Tamandua tetradactyla: one gene and its partner. The protein of the gene in region 2 purifies or fractionates together with the protein of the main gene of each other region. This does not show direct contact. Links are inferred from orthologs where the notes say so. Each region holds a gene or a part of one and is shown on either strand. Other genes may lie near its edges.

The links. Proteins that work in one complex are often made in the same cells at the same time.
Region 1: the proteins of ZC3H18 (region 2) and RBBP6 purify together in Homo sapiens (affinity purification with mass spectrometry; 3 studies listed by BioGRID and IntAct, counting the BioPlex papers as one, with this or other methods). This does not show direct contact. The link is inferred for Tamandua tetradactyla from reciprocal best matches to the Homo sapiens genes ZC3H18 and RBBP6.

Annotation. Positions count from the first base shown.
Region 1 is NC_135349.1:32,519,310-32,529,364, forward strand, and holds the start of RBBP6 (E3 ubiquitin-protein ligase RBBP6), read right to left. Parts: upstream 4,005-10,055; 5' UTR 2,873-4,004; coding exon 2,707-2,872; intron 1-2,706. UniProt on the Homo sapiens protein: E3 ubiquitin-protein ligase which promotes ubiquitination of YBX1, leading to its degradation by the proteasome.
Region 2 is NC_135342.1:82,904,355-82,915,101, forward strand, and holds the start of ZC3H18 (zinc finger CCCH domain-containing protein 18), read left to right. Parts: upstream 1-6,899; 5' UTR 6,900-7,098; intron 7,099-7,477; 5' UTR 7,478-7,604; intron 7,605-8,596; exon of another isoform or gene 8,597-8,816; intron 8,817-8,859; exon of another isoform or gene 8,860-10,747.

The sequences.
Region 1 (10,055 bases), on a different chromosome or scaffold from region 2:
CAATTTATTAATTTGATCAACACAGCACTGTGTCAACTAACATGCTCAACAGATTATCTAGGTGACCTTTTAATGTACCTGAACTACAATGATTTAGTAAACATCTCTTTCCTAAAGGTATCTTCATACTTACAATACCTCTTTAACAAAAAGCCTTTAGCTTTATAAGACCATTTCTTCTCACCAGTATAATTTTTGATCCAAAAACATGAATGAATGTTCATGCATGGAATAAATAACAAGATAAATTTGGGAAATGGAGAAAGCCAGAAAGATAACAAGGACTGCCAAAAAATTGTTCATACTCAACTTCCACATCTCTCACAAAGTTCAGAATAAAAATGTGTTCGTGTGTGTGTGTTTAGGGGGGGAGGTGCTCAGCAGAAAAGGAGACTAGAAAACAAGTTTTTCATACATAACAAAGATAAATTTGGGATTCATTTTTGAAAGAGTTTTTAAATAAACACGTTAAAAACTTTAAAACATGAAATTCTGATTGAAGCATTTTAATCTCGTTAATCAGGATTTAACTGATTCAAAAACTATAAGAAATATTCTATAGAAAAATGGTAAAGTGATTTAAAGCATTTATTCACAACAAATTAAAGTGATCTAATTCAGTGTTCTAAACAATCTCCTAATTATGATGCACCCTTTAATTCACTGGATTTGGTGCTAAAACCAAGCGGAATTACGCCAAAAGCCTTGTGACACTGGATAGTATTTCCCATAAAACTCATTAGGTGACTATCTTCTGCAGTACCAATATCTTTTCCTTCCTTAATTTGAGGACTACATAAAATGCACACTTTTTTCTCTCCCAGTTCCTTCTCCTAAACAACATCTAGATTGACTGCCAGAGGTTTCTCCAATAAAGGACAGTTTACACGATGTATACAAGAAAATATGCTGTTGAGCAAAGCACTTCCCTGGCTTTCAAGGTTTGAGTTACTTAGCACATATTTATACTTCTTGGATGAGAAAAAACAGAGTTACAAAGCAAAGCTGATGGACAAGAATTCCTTCAAACAAAACTTATTCCACACAGTCTATTCAAGTTGTATTCAACTGTTAGATGGAAAAGGACAAAGCCTAGCATTTAATGATTCAGTTGTGTAATGCTCCAATAAAATATGAAACCTGCATAGTACATAATCATTAAAACTGCCTTTATATCCTCTTGTATTAATATTATTAATGTTTTCTTTCTCTCATTCATAAGTGCTCATTAATATATCAATATGGCCTAAATGAAATGTAACTACAATACTTAAGGGATGATTTGCTGGGCTTAATAAGAATATTTCTCTTTAGGTATTTTCTCAAGTAACATGTTAAAAAAAGCTCTCTCAATGTTCATGACCACAATCTCTCCTTTTCTTAAGTAGAAGGATGCTACACATAATTACAATGACCAAAGCTTCATATGAAGTGCTCTTTAGATATAACATCTGTTTAAAAAAAAACAAAACGGCAGTTGATGGTGGAGGCAAGGAGGGTTTATTCTTTCACATGTAATCATTTAAGTAAATAAAGTTCTTCCTAATGAACAGTTCTGAGTCATGATGCCGGTATTGCTGTTCTTTAAATTATGTCTGGAAACGGAAAGCTGCTCTTCTACGTGAAAAGATGTACTCTACCCAACACCACATTACATGCTAAAGATGGGGGTCCTCCCATATCAACTAAATGAACAAATGTCACATCTTACACCAAGTTTAGTGATCAATAAATCTAACCTAGTTAGAACTTCACTTCATTCATTCTCATTCCATCAATAAAACTCAACATTGACCTACTGTAAACTACTGTACTGAGAAAAAGAAACCAAAACAAGTTCACAGTCAAGAGTCTGAAAAGGCCATCAGCACACTGTTTCATCTATTATTCAATTTCCAGTATCATAAAATAGTTTCAAAAAGGAGAAAGAACTTAAAGATTCCAGCCAGTGGTTTGTTTGTACTCATATGGTAGCAACCTACTATCTGTCAATATTCTCCTAACATAGTCATGTAAAGTACAGCAATTACTACTTTAAAAAAGAAAAACCAGTTCTTTTGATCTTTAATCAACTGCTAAATTTTAAGAGTAGTATGATGAACTAAGAGTTCAACTATCTAATTACTGCATTACTAATTCCGTAATTTATACACAATACAAAACCTGTCACATAAGAACCTATCAAGTTCCAAAATCAATTACAACATTAAAGAGTGGGTGGATTAAATTCGCAAAAATAACTCCAAAATAAGGGTAAGGGGCGGGATAAAGGGAGGACATCAATTTGCCATTATTCCCCAAAAGCAAAATTAGAGAAGTATCTTTATTGCTGCTTTAACAAATAACAAGCCTTGCATATGCTCTCTTTCAACCTTCTTTCGATGGAAAAAAAAGTTACAGCACAAGGCAAGAACCAAACTCTGGATACCCGCCCCTCCACCCATTCTCATTAAAAAAAAAGAGTAAATAATCAAACTTTCACGTTTTTGGATGAGCCTGTTACAAATGACCTAATTACACAGAAATCAAATTAAATAAACCAGTTAATCTCCAAGTAGGGATGCTGTAACCCTTGGCTATCAATTAAAGTTGCATGGAAAGTATTAGAACGAACAGAGACATAATGGCGGTTAGTCTTCTGCCAGACACCTTACTACTACTATTTATCTTCAACCAGCAAATACCTGGAGCCCATGTGGCTCTTACCTTCTTTCGTTTGCGCGTTGGTGATCTGCAGGTCGCAGTCGGCAGCTTTCAGCTTCTCTCTCCCCATAATCTGCTTCTTTAAATCGCAGAGGGAGATGTGGAGCCCATCAAAGGTGACGGTATCATAGTTGAGTTTAGAGGAAAATTTATAATGCACACAGGACATGGTGCCAAAGGATTCCTAAGGTTCAGCGAGGAGACGTGGACACTCTCACTATATGTATATTTATAAACTTAAGAGCAAAAATGTACACACACAAAACACTCAAAAGACACGGAAGGACCCTAAGGTCTTGGATTAAATAACCCCCAACCACAAGCAGGGGTTCGTAAAACAATAATCCAGAACCCCCCCCTGTTACTCAGAATCACTTCATGTGGGAGGAGGGAGACGAGGACCTGGAAAAGGGGAAATCGAGAATCCGCCAACGGGCACAATGTCACCCGGCTGGGTCCCCCTCGCTCATGCTAAGGGCCGGCAGGAGACGGGGGTAGGCGGTGCAGTCAGTAGCGGTCAGTCCACACGTTAAAGTCCGAGTGACCCCCGCGGGGTCAGGGGTCCATGGCGTGGCCGCACCTCCCGGTTGGTCTCTTTCCGTGGAATGGGGTGACCCAGGCCCCGGGAGAAGGTTGAGGGGAGAGGGCCTAGGCCCGGAGTCCACGAGCGGCCTTTCGCCTCCTCCTGGCTTCCGGACGACTGGCGTCGACTTCCCCAGGCCCAGGCCCCCAGCCCCCACACAAACCCCTTTCTCCTGCTGCCGGCAGACCACAGGCGGCCCCGCGGTCTAGGCCAAAAAAAGCGCGGTCGGCGGAGGAGAGGCCTTTCTGCAGGCCGCCCCCGGCTCCACCTCCCCCCCGCCGCCGTGCGCCGCCGCCGCCGCCGCCGCCTTAGACACAAAGCCGGTACTAGGCCTCAACTGGGCCTGGAAGCACTTCCTCACCACCCCCGGCCCCAGCCCAGTAGCCGGGTGGCTCTGGCGGACCCCGGGGACGCCGCCGAGTCTCCCTGACGCTTCCTCTCGCCGTGTGCTCCGAGCTTCTCTCGCCTTTCGCTTCCGTCGCCTTTAGGCCCAGAACCGCCAGAATATGGCCGGAAACCGCCGGGCAACGGCAAGGGGCTTTGCTGGCTCCCTTTTTTTCTTTTTTTTTTTTTGCCCCCCTGCCGCTCTCCGGCCCTCACCAAGCGTCGGCGACACCTCCAAGCCAGGCACTATGGCGGACGCGGCCTGGCTTCGGGCGAGCGCCCGACTCCGGGGTCTCTTAGGCAAGGATTGCACGGGCGGCGCGCGCGAGGTGGGGCTGGCGTGAGCGGATAGGCGGGCCGAGAGGCGGAGCCGTCGACGTCACAAAGCGCACCGGCCCTCCCACGTGACTCCGGCGCTTTGTGACTCAGGAGCGCGGAACCTGAACTAGACCGAGGAACGGAAGAAACCATCCGCCTCTAAAGGGAGGGGAGAGGCTTTAGAGGGAAAAAGGACCGGGTCATAGGGTGGTTCTAGGGGGAGAGTTCAGATTTCAGCTTCTGCTGTGCTAATGTCCACTGAACAGTGGGGTGCCAAGGGGTGGCCGGCTAACTGTCCCTTCCCCACAGTTCCGATCAACTCTCCCAAACTCCCCAATTTAAGTAAACATATGGTTACTATGCAGTAAGCTATGGTTGCTATGTAAACACTCCCTACCTCCCACTTCCAACAAACTGGCTACCCCAAGCCCTTCCGAAATAGAAATTCTGATCCCAGCCGCAGCCTAGAACTGATAACATCCAGAAGAACGAAGATTTATTGAGCTCTAAGTATGAGCTAGGCACTGGGATAAGCACTTTATAATATTCCCAGGTTCTGGAGTCAAATTCTCTGAGTTGGAACCATAGAGCTCCGACTCTAGATTTAACCCCTCTGTGTCTCAGTTTCCCTAACCATAAAATGCTGATAAAAATAGTACTTGGTTTCTTGGATTGTTATGGTTTAAACGAATGAATAGATTTACATTGTTTGGAACCAAGCCTGGCATGTGGTTCAATACGCGTCAAAAATGACTCAATGAATGTCAATTTTGCAACAATAACAAAAACCCTAAGTGGTCAGGACTACCATTATTTCCAGTTTATTGATGAGGAAACTAAAGCTAGCAATGATGCACTTTCTGAATTCGCAGAAAGCAATGCCAGCTGTGTGACAGGGTCTCAATCCCATTTCGAATTACAAAGGGCAGGAACTATTCCAAAAGAACATCCACCACCACCCCAATGAGTTGGAATCTCTTTTCTTGGGGCATGGGGCGGTCATACTGCATTCATAAAATTCATAATATAAACTATATTCATAATCCACAATAATAACTATCGTTTACAACGCATTTCCTCTATCCTCTCTGAATTTTACAGGCCAGTCGGGCTCAGAAAAGTTAGTCACTGCTGTACAAGATCACACAGTCAGGAAGTGGCAGAGTTGCCAGAGACTTCCTGAATACACACTAAATTCTTACTGAACTCGATTTAAACCAATCATCATCTTGTCAGTAAAGCCTTCCTGGCCACGTTTTTCATCTAGGTAACCCTGCCAGCATTCGCCAGCTCTTTACCCGTATTTTCTTCCCTGCTTAACATTCATCACTAACTAACATAGTATACATTTATTTTTTAATTGTTTCCCGGTCCCAGTTGAGAGCAAGAATTTCTCTTTTGATTATGCTGTGTCCCCAGCTCCAAGAACAGTGCTTGGATATAGCAGACGCCCAATAAAGATTTGTTAAATAACTAAATACATTTTTATGTGATCTATAGAAATACCATGGCAATAAGATTTTTACAACAAGGGTAAGATTTTTACAAGCGTAGCCCCAGAGATGCAAATATGATTTAGCTGAACCATACACATCAGTGTTTTTCATATACAGCAAGTTTCCACTCATTTTCTTTGGTAACTCACAAAAATTTTTTCACCCACAGTTCAGAATGATTGGTTTCCTTGAAAAATCTCGATGAGAGTGTAAGAGGATTAATAACATCTAAAGAAAGAAAAAACACAAGAATAAATTATATTGATATTCACACCTCCGAAGTGGTGAATCTGTATTAGTCTTTGACTAATCCCCTTTTACCTAATTTTTTTCTTTATTAGAGAGGTTGTGGGTTTTACAGAACACTCATGCACAAAATACCGGATTACCATATATCACCCTATTACTGGGTGGGCCATGATGGCTCAGCAGGCAGAGTTCTGGCCGGAGACCCGGGTTCAATTCCCAGTACCTGACCATGTTTAAAAAAAAAAAAAATCGCTTTCCTATATATCACCCTATTATCAACATCTTGCATTGAGTGGAACATTTGTTACAATTGGTACCATATTTTTATAATCCTACTATTAACTATCGTCCATGGTTTAATTAGAGTTCACAGTGTAGTTCCAAGGAGTTTTTTCTTTCTTTTTTTTTTTTCATGGGCAGGCACCGGGAATCGAACCTGGGTCCTCAGGCATGGCAGTCAAGCATTCTTACCTGCTGAGCCACCGTGGCCCGCCCGGAGTTTTTTCTTTTTAATATTATTCTGATTCCATTTATACAATCTAAAATTTCCCCTTTAAATCACATTCAGATGTATATTTCAGTGCTGTTAATTGCATTAACAGGTTGTGCTACCGTCACGATGATTAACATTTCCATCATTCCAGACAGAAATCCTGCTCTTTTTAAGCCTTAACTTCCTATTCTCTATCCCCATCCCATCCCATGATAATCTATACTCTAGATTTTGACTCTATATGAATATAGAATATGTGAGTTTGCTTATTCAAATTATTTTAAATCAGTGAGATCATACAATACTTGTCCCTTTGTGTCTGGCTTACTTAACTCAACATGATGTCTTCAAGGTTCTTCCATGTTGTTGCTTAGTCCTTCTTTGGCTGAATGATATTCCATTGTAGGTATATACCACATTTTATTTATCCATTCGGTGGCCGATGGACATTTCAGTCACTTCCATCCTTTGGAAATTTGAATTTGAATAATGCTGCTATGACCCAGTGTGCAAATATTTATTCAAATCCCTGCTTTCAACGTTTTGGGGTATATACCTAGAAGTGGAAGTGTCGGGTCATGTGGTAATTCTGTACTTAGTTTGCTGTGGAATCACCAAAATGTCTTCCACAGTGGCTGCGCCATTTTACATTCCCACCAGCAATGAATGAGTGTCCAGATTTCTTTGCATCCTCTCCAACACTTGTTATTTCTCATTTTGTTAATAGCAGTAATTCTAATGGGTGTGAAATGGCATCTCATTGTGCTTTTGATTTGGATCTTCCTGAAAGCTAATGATGTTGGGTATCTTTTCATGTGCTTTCTAACCCTTGAAACATCTACTTTGGAGAGATGTCTGTTCAAGTCTTTTGTCCATTTTTAAATTGGATTGTTTACCTTTTGTTGTTAAGTTGGAGGATTTCATTATACGTACTGTATAGTAATCCTTTATCAGAGATGGGATTCCAGGTATTTTCTCCCATTTTGTAGGTTGTCATTTTACTTTCATGATAAAATCCTTTGAGGATCAAAAGTTTTTAATTTTCATGAGACCCCACATATCTATTTCTTTTGTTACTTATGCTTTGGGTATCAAGTCCAAGAAACTATTGCTTAAAACAAGGTCCTGAAGGTGCTTGCCTATTATTTATCCTAAAAATTTGAGAGTTTATGTCTTATAATAAGGTCTTTGTTCCATTTTGAGTTAATTTTGTATAGGGTATGCGGTAGGGGGGGTCCTTCTTCTTCTTTTTTTTTTGCAAATAGAGATCCAGTTTTCCCAACACCATCTGTTGAAGAAACTATTCTTTCCCAATAGAGTGGTCTTTGCTGCCATGTCAAAAATTAGATGGCCATAAATGTGAGGATTGATTCCTGAGTTGTCAATTCTGTTCCATTGGTCTGTATGTCTGTCCTCGTGCTAGTTCCACAATGTTTTGCTTACTGTGTGTGCTGGTTTGAAAGGATGTGTGTACCCTAGAAAAGCCATGTTTTAATCAAAACCCCATTTCATAGAAGCAGAATAATCCCTATTCAATACTGTATGTAATTAGATCATCTCCCTGGAGATATAACCTAATCAAAAGTGGTTGTTAAACTGGATTAGGGGAGATGTGTCTCCACCCATTTGGGTGGGTCTTGATTGGTTTACTGGAGTCCTATAAAAGAGGAAATATTTTTGGAGCATGAGAGATTCAGAGAGAGCAGAGAATGCTGCAGCAGCATGAAGCAAAGAGTCCACAAGTCAGCAACCTCTGGAGATGAAGAAGGAAAACGCCTCCCAGGGAGCGTCATGAAACCGGAAATCAGGAGAGAAAGCTAACAGATGACGCGGTGTTCACCACGTGCCCTTCCAGCTGAGAGAGAAGCCCTGATTGTGTTCACGGTGTGCCTTCTCACTTGAGAGAGAAACCCCGAACTTCATTGGCCTTCTTGAACCAAGGTATCTTTCCCTGGATGCCTTTGATTGGACATTTCTGTAGACTTGTTTTAATTGGGACATTTTCTTGGCCTTAGAACTGTAAACTAGCAACTTATTAAATTACCCCTTTTAAAAGCCATTCTATTTCTGGTATATTGCATTCCAGCAGCTAGCAAACTAGAACACTGTGGCTTTGTAATAAGTTTTAGATCAGGAAATGTAAGTCTTCCAACTTCATTCTACGTCTTCAAAGTGGCTTTAGCTATTCAAGGCCCTTACCCTTCCATATAAATTTTGATTGACTTTTCCATTTCTGCAATTGTTAGAATTTGATTGGAAATTCATTGGATCTATACATTGCTTTGGATAGAACTGACATCTTAATGATATTTAGTCATCTAATCCATGAACATAGAATGTCCTTCCATTTATTTAGTTCTTATTTGATTTCTTTTAGCAATGTTTTTGTAGTTTTCTGTGTACAAGTCATTTACATCCTTGGGTAGATTTATTCCTAGTTATTTGATTCTTTTAGTTGCTATTGTAAATGGAATTATTACCTTGATTTCCTTCTCATCTTGCTCATTACTAGTGTATAGATATACTGCTGATTTTTGTGTGTTCATCTTGTACCCTTCCACTTTGCTGAATTGTCTATTAGCTTTAAAAGCTTTGTTGTGGAATTTTCAGTATTTGCTATACATAGGATCATGCCATCTACAAATAAGGAAAGTTTTACATCTACCTTTCCAATTTGGATGCATTTTATTTTTCTTTCTTACCTAATTCCTCTGGTTAGAACTTCCAGTACAATGTTGAATAATAGTGGTGATAATGTGCATGCTTGTCTTGCTCGGGATCTTAGATGAAAAGCTTTTGATCTTTCACCTTTGGGTATGATGTTAGCTGTGGATTTTTCATATATGCCCTTTATCATGTTAAGGAAGTTTTTCTATTCCTATTTTTGTTAAGTGTTGAGGTCAAGAGAGGATGCTGGATTTTGACAAATGAATTCTCTGTGTCAACAGAAGTTATCATGTGTTTTTTCCCTTTGTTTTGTTAATGTGCTGTTTTACATTAATTGATTTTCTTATGTTGCACACCTGGGATAAAGCCCATTTGATCATGGTGTATAATTTTATTTTTTTAAAAATTTTTATTGATAAAATAACATACAAGCACATATATTCTTAACATACAAACATTGCATACATGGTATACAATCAATGGCTCACAGTATCATCACATAGTTGTATATTTATCAACATGATCATTTTTTAGAACATTTGTATCACTCTAGAAAAAATAAAAAGAAAAACCTCATATATTCCTTATCCCTTACCCCTCTCTCTCATTGATCACTAGTATTTCCACCTACCCAATATATATATTTTTTAATTTTAACATTTGTTCCCTCTATTATTTATTAATTTTTAATTCATATGTTTTACTCATCTAGTGTCCATACCATAGCTAAAAGGAGCATCAGACACAAGGTTTTTCACAATCACACAGTCCCGTTGAGAAAGCTATATCATTATACAGTCATCTTCAAGAACCATGGCTACTGGAACACAGCTCTACATTTTCAGGAAGTTCCCTCCAACCTCTCCATTACACCTTAACTAAAAAGGTGACATCTATTTAATGCATAAGAATAACCTCCAGGATAACCTCTCGACTCTGTTTGAAATCTCTCAGCCATTGACACTTTCTTTTGTCTCATTTCGCTCTCCCCCTTTTGAGCCAGAAGGTTTTCTCAATTCCTTGTTGCTGAGTTCCAGCTCATTCTAGGATTTCTGTCACACGTTACCAGGAAGGCCCACACCCCTGGGAGTCATGTCCCACGTAGAGAGGGGGAGGGCAGTGAGTTTGCTTGTGTTTTGGCTGAGAGAGAGAGGCCACATCT
Region 2 (10,747 bases):
ACACACACACCCCTGCCACCCTGGGCTTCTCCCAGGGAGCCTGCTGGGCTGAGGGAGGGAGCAGGGCAGGGACAGCCCAGCCCAACCAGCGGCCACACTGCCCTTCGGCCTGGACCCCGCTCCTTGCTGGCTCCTCGCCGGCCGACAGGTGCAGGGAGCAGTAGGAAGCTTCTGGTCGTCAACCCGGGCCCTGGTGACAGCCCCTGGCCACCCGCCTCCTGGAGAGGCTCGGGAGCAGCAGGGGCTTTGGGGCCCTGAAGGCAGGAGGACGGGGCAGAGGGCCTCCCTGTGGCCACGGGTCCCGTTCTCGGTCGGGACAAAGGGAACCAGAGGCTGTGGGACCGGCTGACCTGGGGCTCCTGGGCCTTCTGTCGCTGGGGTCGCAGGGACCAGATGTGGCCCTCGGCGACAGGAGAGGATGGCCGCGCTGAGGGGGAGGGGGCCCAGCTGCATGTGGGTGGAGGGAGGGGACCCCCACTTTGGCTCTCCGGCCTCCTCCCAAGTGGGCCCGGGAGAGGGAGGCGGTGGGCGGCCCCCGAGGCAGGAGAGCGGCCGGGAGAGAGGGGGACGCGGATCTGATCTAGGTGAAGGGGCTGGGCTGGGGGCAGCCACCAGCCCTGTCTCTGGGGGACCTCACCCCACCCTCCCTGCCATGCTGTCCTGAGCACTTGGGCCGCAGGACTTCACAGCTCAGAAAATCCCTGAGGCACGAGGTGGAGACGGTCCAGGGCACGAGGGAGGCTTGAGATGGCCCAAGGCACTGTGCTTGAAAGCGTCCTCCACATGCGGCAGCAGGAGTCACCACTAGGCGGAGGGACATGGCGGGGCCCCGAAGTGCCGGCTGCCCACAGGACGCACCAAGGCCCTGGGGCCGATGGGCATTCTCTCTCCCTCCCTTCAGTCAAGGCACGATCGCAGACCGTGGCCGGTTCGCACCCCAGTTCAGCACTGGGATTCGCGGTCCCCACCTGGGCGCTGCAGACTGCACACCTGGGAGGCAGCAGTCACCCCGTCACCTCTGAAGCTTTGTCTTGTGGGCGGGATGTATTCTGTCTTGACTGGGTGCACTGTGGGCTGCTGGGCGCGGGGGGCTAGGGGACTGGGGGCCACGCGTGTCCTGCCCCACACCGGCTGCCGTGACGCCTGCCTACCAGGCCCTCAGCCACGTGCTGTTTCCCGCGCTCTGCTCCTGCCACCGTGGTCACATGGAGACGTGTTCCTCCAGGCAGCACAGGCCCCGCTGCGGCCCCCCCAAACCTGGGTGCGCTCGCCAGCCAGCGCCGCCTGCATCAGGGTGGAGGGACAGGGCCCAGAGAGGAGGTGGGAGCGGCCAGATCCCCCGTGGGGCACACGTCCTCGGGTCAGGGTCACAGCTGCACCCAGCCCCCACCCCTGCGAGCTGCCCTCGGGGTCGGCAGACCTCTGCCCTGCACAGCGCACGGCCCAGCTGGGCGATCCTGGAGGGGAAAGAAACGAAACCCCACCGGTTGGTGGAACTTGGAAATCTGGTTTCCTCCCCTAAACTGCTGGCCACCATGGACTTTTCACAGGCTCCGGTGGCTGCTCCCTGCCTCCTGTCCAGGGTTAGCCCCCCAGGGTGGGCGAGGGCAGGCGGCGCGGGGAGCACGCGATGGGGGCACCTGGAAGGCCACCTCCCCGACGGCCTTCCATCCCATATGCCCTGCGTGCGGTGTGCACGTGTCAAACGCTGGGGGGCAGGGGAGGCCCCCAAAGTACTGTGTGGTTTTAGGCCCTGGGATAGCCACCCTCTGGTTTCAAGGATGCAGCACGGTCCCACCTCCTCCCTTCCCGGTTGTGTGAGCCTTAGCGGCCATGGGAAGGGCCTTCCCAGAGCTAGAGGGACAAGGGTAGCTTTAGCAGACCCCAGCAGTCAGGAATTGGAACTGGGAGAGTCTCCGGGGATGAGAACACAAGGCAGAGGGTTTCAGCGAGAGCTGGAGCCACAGCAACCCCCTGGGGCCGAGAGGAGAGCGGTGCCGTGTCCCTGCTCTTCCTTCTGCCCATTCTCCGACATGCCACCAACACCCCCCCACACACCGGCCGCCATGCCCAGCCCGTCAGGACGTCACCCACCTGCAGTGCAAGCAGGGCAGGGTGGGGGTGGGTTTGAGAAGGGGCAGCAGTCACGAGGAGCTCACCTCCGCTGGCACGAGGTCACAAGGGTCCCTCGCTAAGCCTGTGAGGTGGGTCCCGGCACTACCCCATTGTAGAGACGAGGAGGCTGGGGCCCGAGGAGATGGGTGGCCACACACACCACACAGCCGGTTCCCTGGAAGGCAGGGGCCAAATCCGAGGCCCGGTTCTCAGCCGAGGTGGGGGTGGGCCGATGGGGGGTCAGTCTTGCTAAGAGACCCACAGCAGGCTCTCGCACTGGGAGCTGCCTGTCTTTTCTTTTCTTTCTCTTTAAGTATGTAGTCCAAAAATCTAAGTCTTATAACCAAACCTTAGTTTCCCAAACTATTGATACACACAACAGGGACACGTTTCAAAAGCCTTGTGCTGAGTGAGAGAAGCCAGACACAAAGCCCACATTCACTCGATGCTCCTGGAAAGACAAACGGGGTCTGGGGGGCAGGAGGCAAGTGCCAGGGGCACGGGGGAGCTTTCCAAGCCACGGAAACGTCATATATCCTGACTGCAGTGGCAACTGCAGGGCGCACACACACACACACACATAATATATATATATATATTTTGTGTGTGTGTGTGTGAAAACTCATCAAGCTGTACAGGTAAAAGGTATGCATCTCAGCAAATGTAAACTATAACTCAATAATATTTTTTTTAAAATGGTTGTGCCCCTCTTCACCCCCATTTCCCAGTCCTAAGAGACAATCATTTTCAGCTCTTTTGTCTCTTCTGACATCTTTCGCATCTCCAGTAACATATTCATCCTGCTACTTCATGACTTTTTAAGATTAATAAACTGTCTTTTTTACAGCAGTTGGGAGGGTGGCAGAGAGCACGAAGTGCTTCTCCTGTCATTCCACCTTACACTGGGGTGGCATGCTCGTTACACACGCTGAGCTGACAGCACAAGTCTCCTGACAGCCCGCAGTCCCCGGGCTCCTGCACGCGCTGCACGGGTCTGTGGGGTTCTGACAAATGCACAATGTCACGTGTCCCCCACCACCGCTTCAAGGAGAAAGCTTCCACCGCCTAAAAACCAGGTTAAAGAACATCGGTTCACTTTCTATCCCAGATCCCAAGAGGAAGATTTAGCTCTCTCACACACCTGAATTTTCCCAGGCTTCCATCCACCAAATAAAAGTACTTTTAAATTAAAATAACTTTCTGTTAAATATTTTAGAACACGCAAAAATAAGATGTACTGAATAATAAAATGAACCCCAGCTTTCATTCCAACGCCTGGAAACATGTGAATGCTTCCCCTGCACCCCCGGATGCCGTCCTCCTTCCCACCCTAGAATAACCTGTCCTGGATTTCGGTGTCTGCCTGGGTCTTGTGTTTTTTAGTTTTACAATCTGTGTGTACAGCTAAACAAAAGTGTTTAGTTTTTCCTTTTTCTTTTTTTTCACTGAGGTCTAACTTACATCTTGTAAGGTGTATAAATATAAATGTGCGCTGATAGATTTTATAAAAGTTCGTCTGGTCATCACACAGATTTCATTCCCGTCCCTCCCGAAGGCAGCCACTGCTACGGCCACTGTTGTCACGGATGACCTTGTAGAAATGAACTGTGGTGAGTGTGAGCACACAAGCGTGTGTCTGGCTTCTTTTGCTCAATATAATGCCTCTGAGAGTCAGCCAAGTACTGTGCAGAGACCATGTGTTCCTTTCCCTTGCTCTACGGTATTCCATCGTGTTCTCCATCACAGCTCTTTATCCAGGCTTTTGATGCACTCTGGGTTCTTAAACTTTGGAGTATAACAGACGGTGCTGCCCCAAGCATGCCTTCTGCAGGACACATGAGCTCATCTGTCCTGGGAATCTCCCCAAACTAGAATCGTGGGTTGGGGGCTGCACAGGGCTTAGCTTTAGTAAATACCATGTGGTTTTCCAAAGTGTTTGCACCAACTTGCACTCCCACTGGCAGTGCCAGGTCCCATTTACACTCCTGGTGCCCTCACGACAGATACTTGACATTTTAACTTTTCTATAAATGTCTGTTTTTTCTGTCACTTGCTTTTTTGGCACAGCAATATCTCTAAGCTTCATCTGTGTTAACATACGTACTTAGAATTCTTACATTAAAAGATAGTTACTGGGTGGGCCATGGTGGCTCAGCAGGCAAGAATGCTTGCCTGCTATGCCCGAGGACCCAGGTTCGATTCCCGGTGCCTGCCCATGTTAAAAAAAAAAAAAAAAAAAAAAAGATAGTTACTCATTCACTCATTGACAGACATTTGGGTTATTTGCTTTACGTTTTCTTTGTTCTTTCAATGACTACTAAAACATCTTCTGAGAACCCTGATTTGAGTCTCCCGATGCCCACGGGCAGGGGCTGTCACCCATGGGGGAAGGGAGGCGCCAGCATCTCCTGGAAACCTGTTAAAGCCAAAGCAGCTGGACCCCACCCCCAGATTTCCTGACTCAGCAGGCCAGGGTGGGGCCTGAGAAAGTGCATTTGTAACAGATCCCCAGGGGAGGCTGCTCCCGGATCAGGGGCCCCACTCTAAAGCTGGGGCACCCATCCGAGTGGGACTGCTGCTCAAGGGGAGTGCATCTTCACCGTTTTTCAACAGGCCTGCTTATTTTCTGAAGCTGTAGCCCCGTGGGGCTTAGCACACCTTTTTGTTAAATTCAGTCAGGTAAAACTCTCTCCCAGCTGAGTAATGCAGCTATTTTATATGGTAATGAACAGCCTTGGTGCCTGGAAGGTACCTGCATGGCAGACACCAGGCCTGGTGGCACAGAGAACTTGAGGACACCCTGCCTGCTGGTCAGGTAGTTGGCTCGGTGCTGGTAACGGGGCCCCCAGATGACGAGGGCTGAAAGGAATCAGATGTCCACGCCTCTCTTCCACAACAGAGAAGCAGGTGGGAGACAGCCCGGCTCGGTGCTGGAGGCTCAGGCATGGGGCCCTGGCCACCTGGGGTGACATCCAGAGTGACAAGGTATTCGACAGCTTCCATGTCCCCACGCGAAACAAGAAGAGAGTGGGGAGCACTGGGCACAGGGCCCCTTGAATGAACAGCCCCACCACTGTTCGCCGATGTCACCACAACCCCTCCTGCTGTCGGCGAACCTCCATGCCTGTCACCTGCTTTGCAGCTGTGGACAGTCCCATTTTACAGAGGAAACAGCTTCAGCAGCTGGTGCTGGCAAGAGGTTCTGAGGGGGGGCGCCAGCCCTGGTCCCCAGGTCCTCTGACTGGAGCTCAGCAGTGCAGCCCGTGGGACTTAGATCTGGAGAGGCCGGAGCCCTGAGCCCACCTCTGAAGTCTTCTCAGGATCTCCAAACTCCTCTGCACATGGTTTCCAGACTTGGCAAACATTCTCATCGGCAGCTCGGTGCCTGCCCAGGAGCCATGGGGTAAATGCCGCAGTGCCGCCCTCGAGTAGTTCACAGACTGGCTGGGAGGACAGACGAGGAGCAGGACAATACGATTTGTCCTGGCTGCTGCCCCAACGGGCACACACTGGTGCTGGAGACTCACCCAGGTGGCACCAGGCTCAGCCTCTTTTGGGGGTGGCAGGAGGGCTTCTGGGAGGTCCATCCCAGGTGAGACCTGGAGAAGAGTTAAAGATAGCCAGGTGAAGGAGAAAGGCGGGGACAGTGGTCCAAGCAGCAGGAATGGCAGGTGTGCAGACCTGGGGCAAAGCCAAGGGGGAGAAGGAAATATGAGGCTGGGAGGACTGGGACTGGCAGGGCCAGATGACAGAGTCTGAAGGGTCAGGCCGAGGAACTGGGGTTGCATCTCTGCGGCAGGGGTGCTCTGGAGGGTGCTGGAGTGGGGTGGTGGGAACCAGCCTGAAATTTAGAAAGGGGTTCTCTGGCTGCTTTCAGTTGCAGGAATTGGGGGGCAGGGAGGGGAAGCTGTGGCATTAATCTTGGCAAGTGGAGAGGACAGCATGAACCATACCAGGGCAGGGAGAGCAGTGAAAAGGGGGATAATGCAAGACTCCAGAGTTCAGGAGGCAGAACTGACCGGGGGCTCCTCTCCCTCTCTTCCCCTCCCCAAACCCTTCTGCCCAACCTCTCCCAGCCCCTTCTCTCTCCCCTCCCACACCTCCTGGCAGCTCCTACCTGCACACCCTCTCCTTCCTGCCGTCCGTCCACAGCCAGTGGTTTCAGTATGTTCACGAAGTTGGGCAGCCTTCACCACTGATGGTATTTCGGGAACATTTTAACCCCCCCCGCGAAAAGAAACCCTGTGCCCATCCGCGCCCCCAGCCCTGGCAGCCATGGCTCTGGCTCCCGCGTCCCTGGCTTGCTGCTCTGGGCAGCGCCATCCTTGCGCTCGCTCATCGGCTCCCTTCATCCGCGGGCCGCTTCCGAGGTCCCCCCCGCGGCGCGGCGCCCCCCCGGGGCGGGAGGACACCCACACCCAACGCCCCAAGGCGCAGAGGGGGCGCCCCGGGCCTCGCCGCGGTACCGGGGACCCTCATGGGCGCTGATGACACTCGCGACCCTGAGGGCTGCGAAAGCAGCGAGTTCTCCGTGCAAACAGGGTCACCCGCGCTCGGCTCTGCAGTTCACCCCCACGCACGTTTCCGGCCTCACGGGGGAGAGCGGGGGGCCAGCCCCCCTGCGCAGGCGCGCTCCCACCCGCCCCTCCGCGCAGGCGCACGAAGGACGGCCGCGCGCACGCGCGGCGCAGAAGCCCGCCCCCGGCGGGGCGGGGCGCGTCGACGGCTCTGGCGCCGCGCGGAGGCCGGAAGGAAGGCGGGAGGGAGGGGCGAGCGGAGGAAGCCCGCCTGCCCGCAGGTCGGCCGTCGCGGCCTGATGACGTCGCACAATGGCCGGCCCCCGCGGGTAGTGGAGCCCGTTTGTTCCGCCCGCGTCGCGCCCGAAGCCGGAGCCTGTGAGGAGCGGAAGGACTGTGGGACGTCGTCTCCGCGCCGCCGCGACTCTAGCGGAGCCGTGGCCCCCGTCTCCGCGCTCGCGCTGAGGTAAGCGAGGGCCGGGCGGGCGGCGGCGGTGGGAAGGAGGAGGCCGCCTCGTCGGCGGCCGGGCGGAGAACGTGGCGACGGCGGGAGCTGAGGCCGGGACCTTCCGCGCGGCCGCCGCCGTAGAGCGTTTCCGGCTGTGCCCTGCGGCCGTGGGCAGCCGCGGACGAAGCGTGGCCCTCGGGTGCCCCGGCAGGGGGGTCGCGGAGCCTGGCACGATCCCGCCTCTGTCCGCCGCGAGCGCGGCCCCGCGAGGGCCCCGGAACGCCCCCCGAGTCGGAGCTCCGCGCGAGCTGCGTCCGCGCCCCGCCGAGGGGTTACGTTCCTGAAGCTGTCATTTCTCTTCCGGGCCGTTCGCCGGGCACGTTTGCCGCCCACGAAGCGGGTTTGAGAGGCGCGCGGGCTCGCCCTCCGGAGTAGGCCAGCCCGGGGTGCTGGTGGGCGCTCCCGGGACTGTGAGCTCTTTGAACCGCCTGGAGCTTGGTCCTTCGCCTTCAGAGTGAGCACAGGTGAGACGCTCTCCGGTCCTTTAGGAACATGTAACAACTTCCTTGTGCCTTTGATTCGGAGCCCAAAGGGTGCTGGGCGACTGGTGTAAACTAATTGCGGTTATGATACTGGGAAAACCCAAGACTTCAAGACTAATGCAGTCTTTCGCCTGCTGAAACCAAAGTTGTTACTGATTATTTAAGGCAGCTGAGTTTGCCTGGGCAGAGTGGTTGATCATTGTAAATGAGCTTTGTTTTACAAAAACTCATTTGTAAAAGTAAGTCAGTCTTCTGATCCGTTTGGGGGGAAAGGAATAAGAGGGCATTTGACATCTGAGGTACTATTTGGGGCTTAAGGATGGCTCTCATCCTTTCTCCTTGGAGACTCTTTTCTGTCATTTTGCCTGTGGCGTTCCGAGCTCTGGGTGGGTAGTGTTTGCCTGATAGTGTTACGGTCTGTGCATATGAGTAGACTCCAGCCTCTGCAACCACTCAAATGTGTCCCAAAGGTTGGAGCCCTTCTCCAGTTTTAGAGGGAATGGCTCAGATGTTCTAAGAAAGCTTTATGGAGTTACTTCAGAGAGCATACAGGTAAGCTGTGACCTTGCTCCTAGTTAAAGAGCTTTTTTACTTTATCACAGTTACACACTGTCTCGAGATGGGTATTTCCTTGTTGTGCCTTTGATGGTCAGCTTAATAAATTCAGAGGATGGTATCTGTCACCACTGTAGGGGCAGATTTCCTTTAGATATTAAAAGTCTATCAAGTTATAAATTGGAATTTTAACCAGACATACCAGAACTCAGGCACTCAAATAGAAACCATTCTGTTAAAAGTAGTGTCCCAAAGGTTATGTCACTGATGCTCCTTTGCCAAAACCTCTTTAGAACTCCTGTTTTGTTAGTAAATATATAAGCCATGTGAGAAAAACCATTTCATCCAGTTTATCATTCAAACACATATGTTTGACCAAAATTATCTTACCTGGCTCAATGACTTACCTCACTCTCCAGACCAGGCCCTGAATGACTTCTGACTGTTTCTCAAAGTAGTCCGCTTTGAGAGGAGGAAGATTTGCTGCCACTGAAGAAAGACCAGAGTATGTTCTGCAGATTCTGAAGATTCTTCTAAAAGAGAAGTTCCTAACACATTCTGTGCTTCAACAGTGCCATTGGGTTCAGAGCATGGTCTACTAGAGTGACAGCTGGAAAAGGAGACTGTGCCTGAGTTCTGGTATCATTCTTTTTCAAATTAGTCATTTAAATTTCTTGCTTGTATGCAACAGGTAGTTTCTTAAGTAATAGTTTGGTCATTTACTGATAAATATCAAGCACCATATGTCATAAGGCAAGAGACCCTGTAATGGAAGGCAAGTTCATAGTCCTGTGGACCAGAAGATTAAATAATTAGCTCTAAACCTTGCCACAAATCCATAAGGATGGGGTGATTGTTGTAAAAAGACTAAATTGAGCAAAAATTGTGAACGTGGGGGTCAGTTAAGACTTGTCCAGAGGATCGTGTTTCATTTGCTGCACTTGGTAGGCCATGTATTTACCTCCCAAGCATCCTCACCTTCCAGGCACCCCAATGTGGCGAATGCACTCGCATATTTGCCAAACTGAATTAATCTCTAAAGCAGATGAAGACACGGAAGTCCAGAGAGGGCCTGGGAGTCAAACCGCCTGATTCCAAGGAAGTGCCTTCTTTCTGTGCCACGTGGTATGGCTCAGGTCGCTTCTGACACACAGGTAGATCCATTGGCAGAAAGACCAGGTAGATCCATTGCCAGATGGCCATGACTACCTGGTCTGGCGAGTTCATGCACTTTCCCCCAGATCCTGATGCTAGGAAGTGGAAAAGCTGGGAGGCTGTTTCTTCTGACCCATGTGCCCTATAAGAAAACAATACTTTAAAAGGTAAACGTCCCATTGTTTACTTGTCCACTGCATTGGTTCAGGTACTTGAAGGTAGGCACTTGTTTTCTTTTATTTCTTACTCTAGGAATTAATTTCAAGTCTGTCAGAATATACAAAGATATTTGGTCGAACTTAATCATGACCAAAACCGAAGTGCAAGTCTGCCTTGCCCTGGCCCCTGGACAGGAAGTCGCCTGCTTGGAGCAGTTTGTGCTCTGCATCCCTCTGGAAAGGATAGCATGCTGCAAAGCTGTGGCGGAGCTGAGCAGGTGCCCTCTGCAGACTTATCGATTGTTTATTTTAAACTTGTTTGAGAAGACATTAAATTTTCCATAACAAGTGTTTTAAGAGGTAACTTTGTTTCCAGGTTTGCCCTTAGACTATAATAATGAGAATCAAAATTTGTCACGTTTCAAGTGGGATTATAAAAGACTCTGGAACCGGTTGAGCTTTGGCTGACTGCTTCCTGGGTACCAAGCAGATGATAGTACTAGGGAGATGAACAACTCTGTGCTTTTATGTAGCTGTTTTTATATACAACGTAATAGAAACTGTATGTTAAACATAGGCTTAGGATGTTAGGTGCAAAGGAAACTCTTTTGTTTACTTTGTTAAAATTAGAAAGTAAGAATAGCAGGGGGAAAGGTCACTTAGTGTGCCACTAGCCTTGACTGTTGGTCTCCAACACTTAGAAACATGGCAGCCGTAGCATGGCCTCCTCCATCCTCATCGGTCTGCCTCAGGCTCCTGGGAAATGGAGTGGGGGCAGGATTTCTGCCCATTTCTCATTTTCAATAAAGAACCTTATTTTAGGATCAACCTTTGAGTAATTCCTTCAAATAGTTCCACCTCTGGATGCTAACTGGAGAGTGTAGTTGGAAAACTGAAAAGTGAATCATTTTAAGATCTGTTTTAGATTGGCTGGTGTGTAAACTAGTATTCTTGCTAACCATTTCGTTTCCGTGGAGTAACAGGTTTTAAGTTACTTGTCCTGATTTATGTTCAGTTTTAATTCCATTAACAGCAAAGAAGAAAGTTAAGTCTAGATAAAATCCACTCCTGATACTGTGCCTTTTTAAAAGTATTCCTGCATGCGTACACATGCACAACTGCAGCTGCAGACCGGATGGCTTGTCTCACCTGTAAACTTGCGGTCATCTTGGGACAGATAAATTTTTTCCGGATATCTCTGAGACACCAAGCAGCATGACTATGGCATGGATTATTTTAAATAGAAGTTGTCATAAG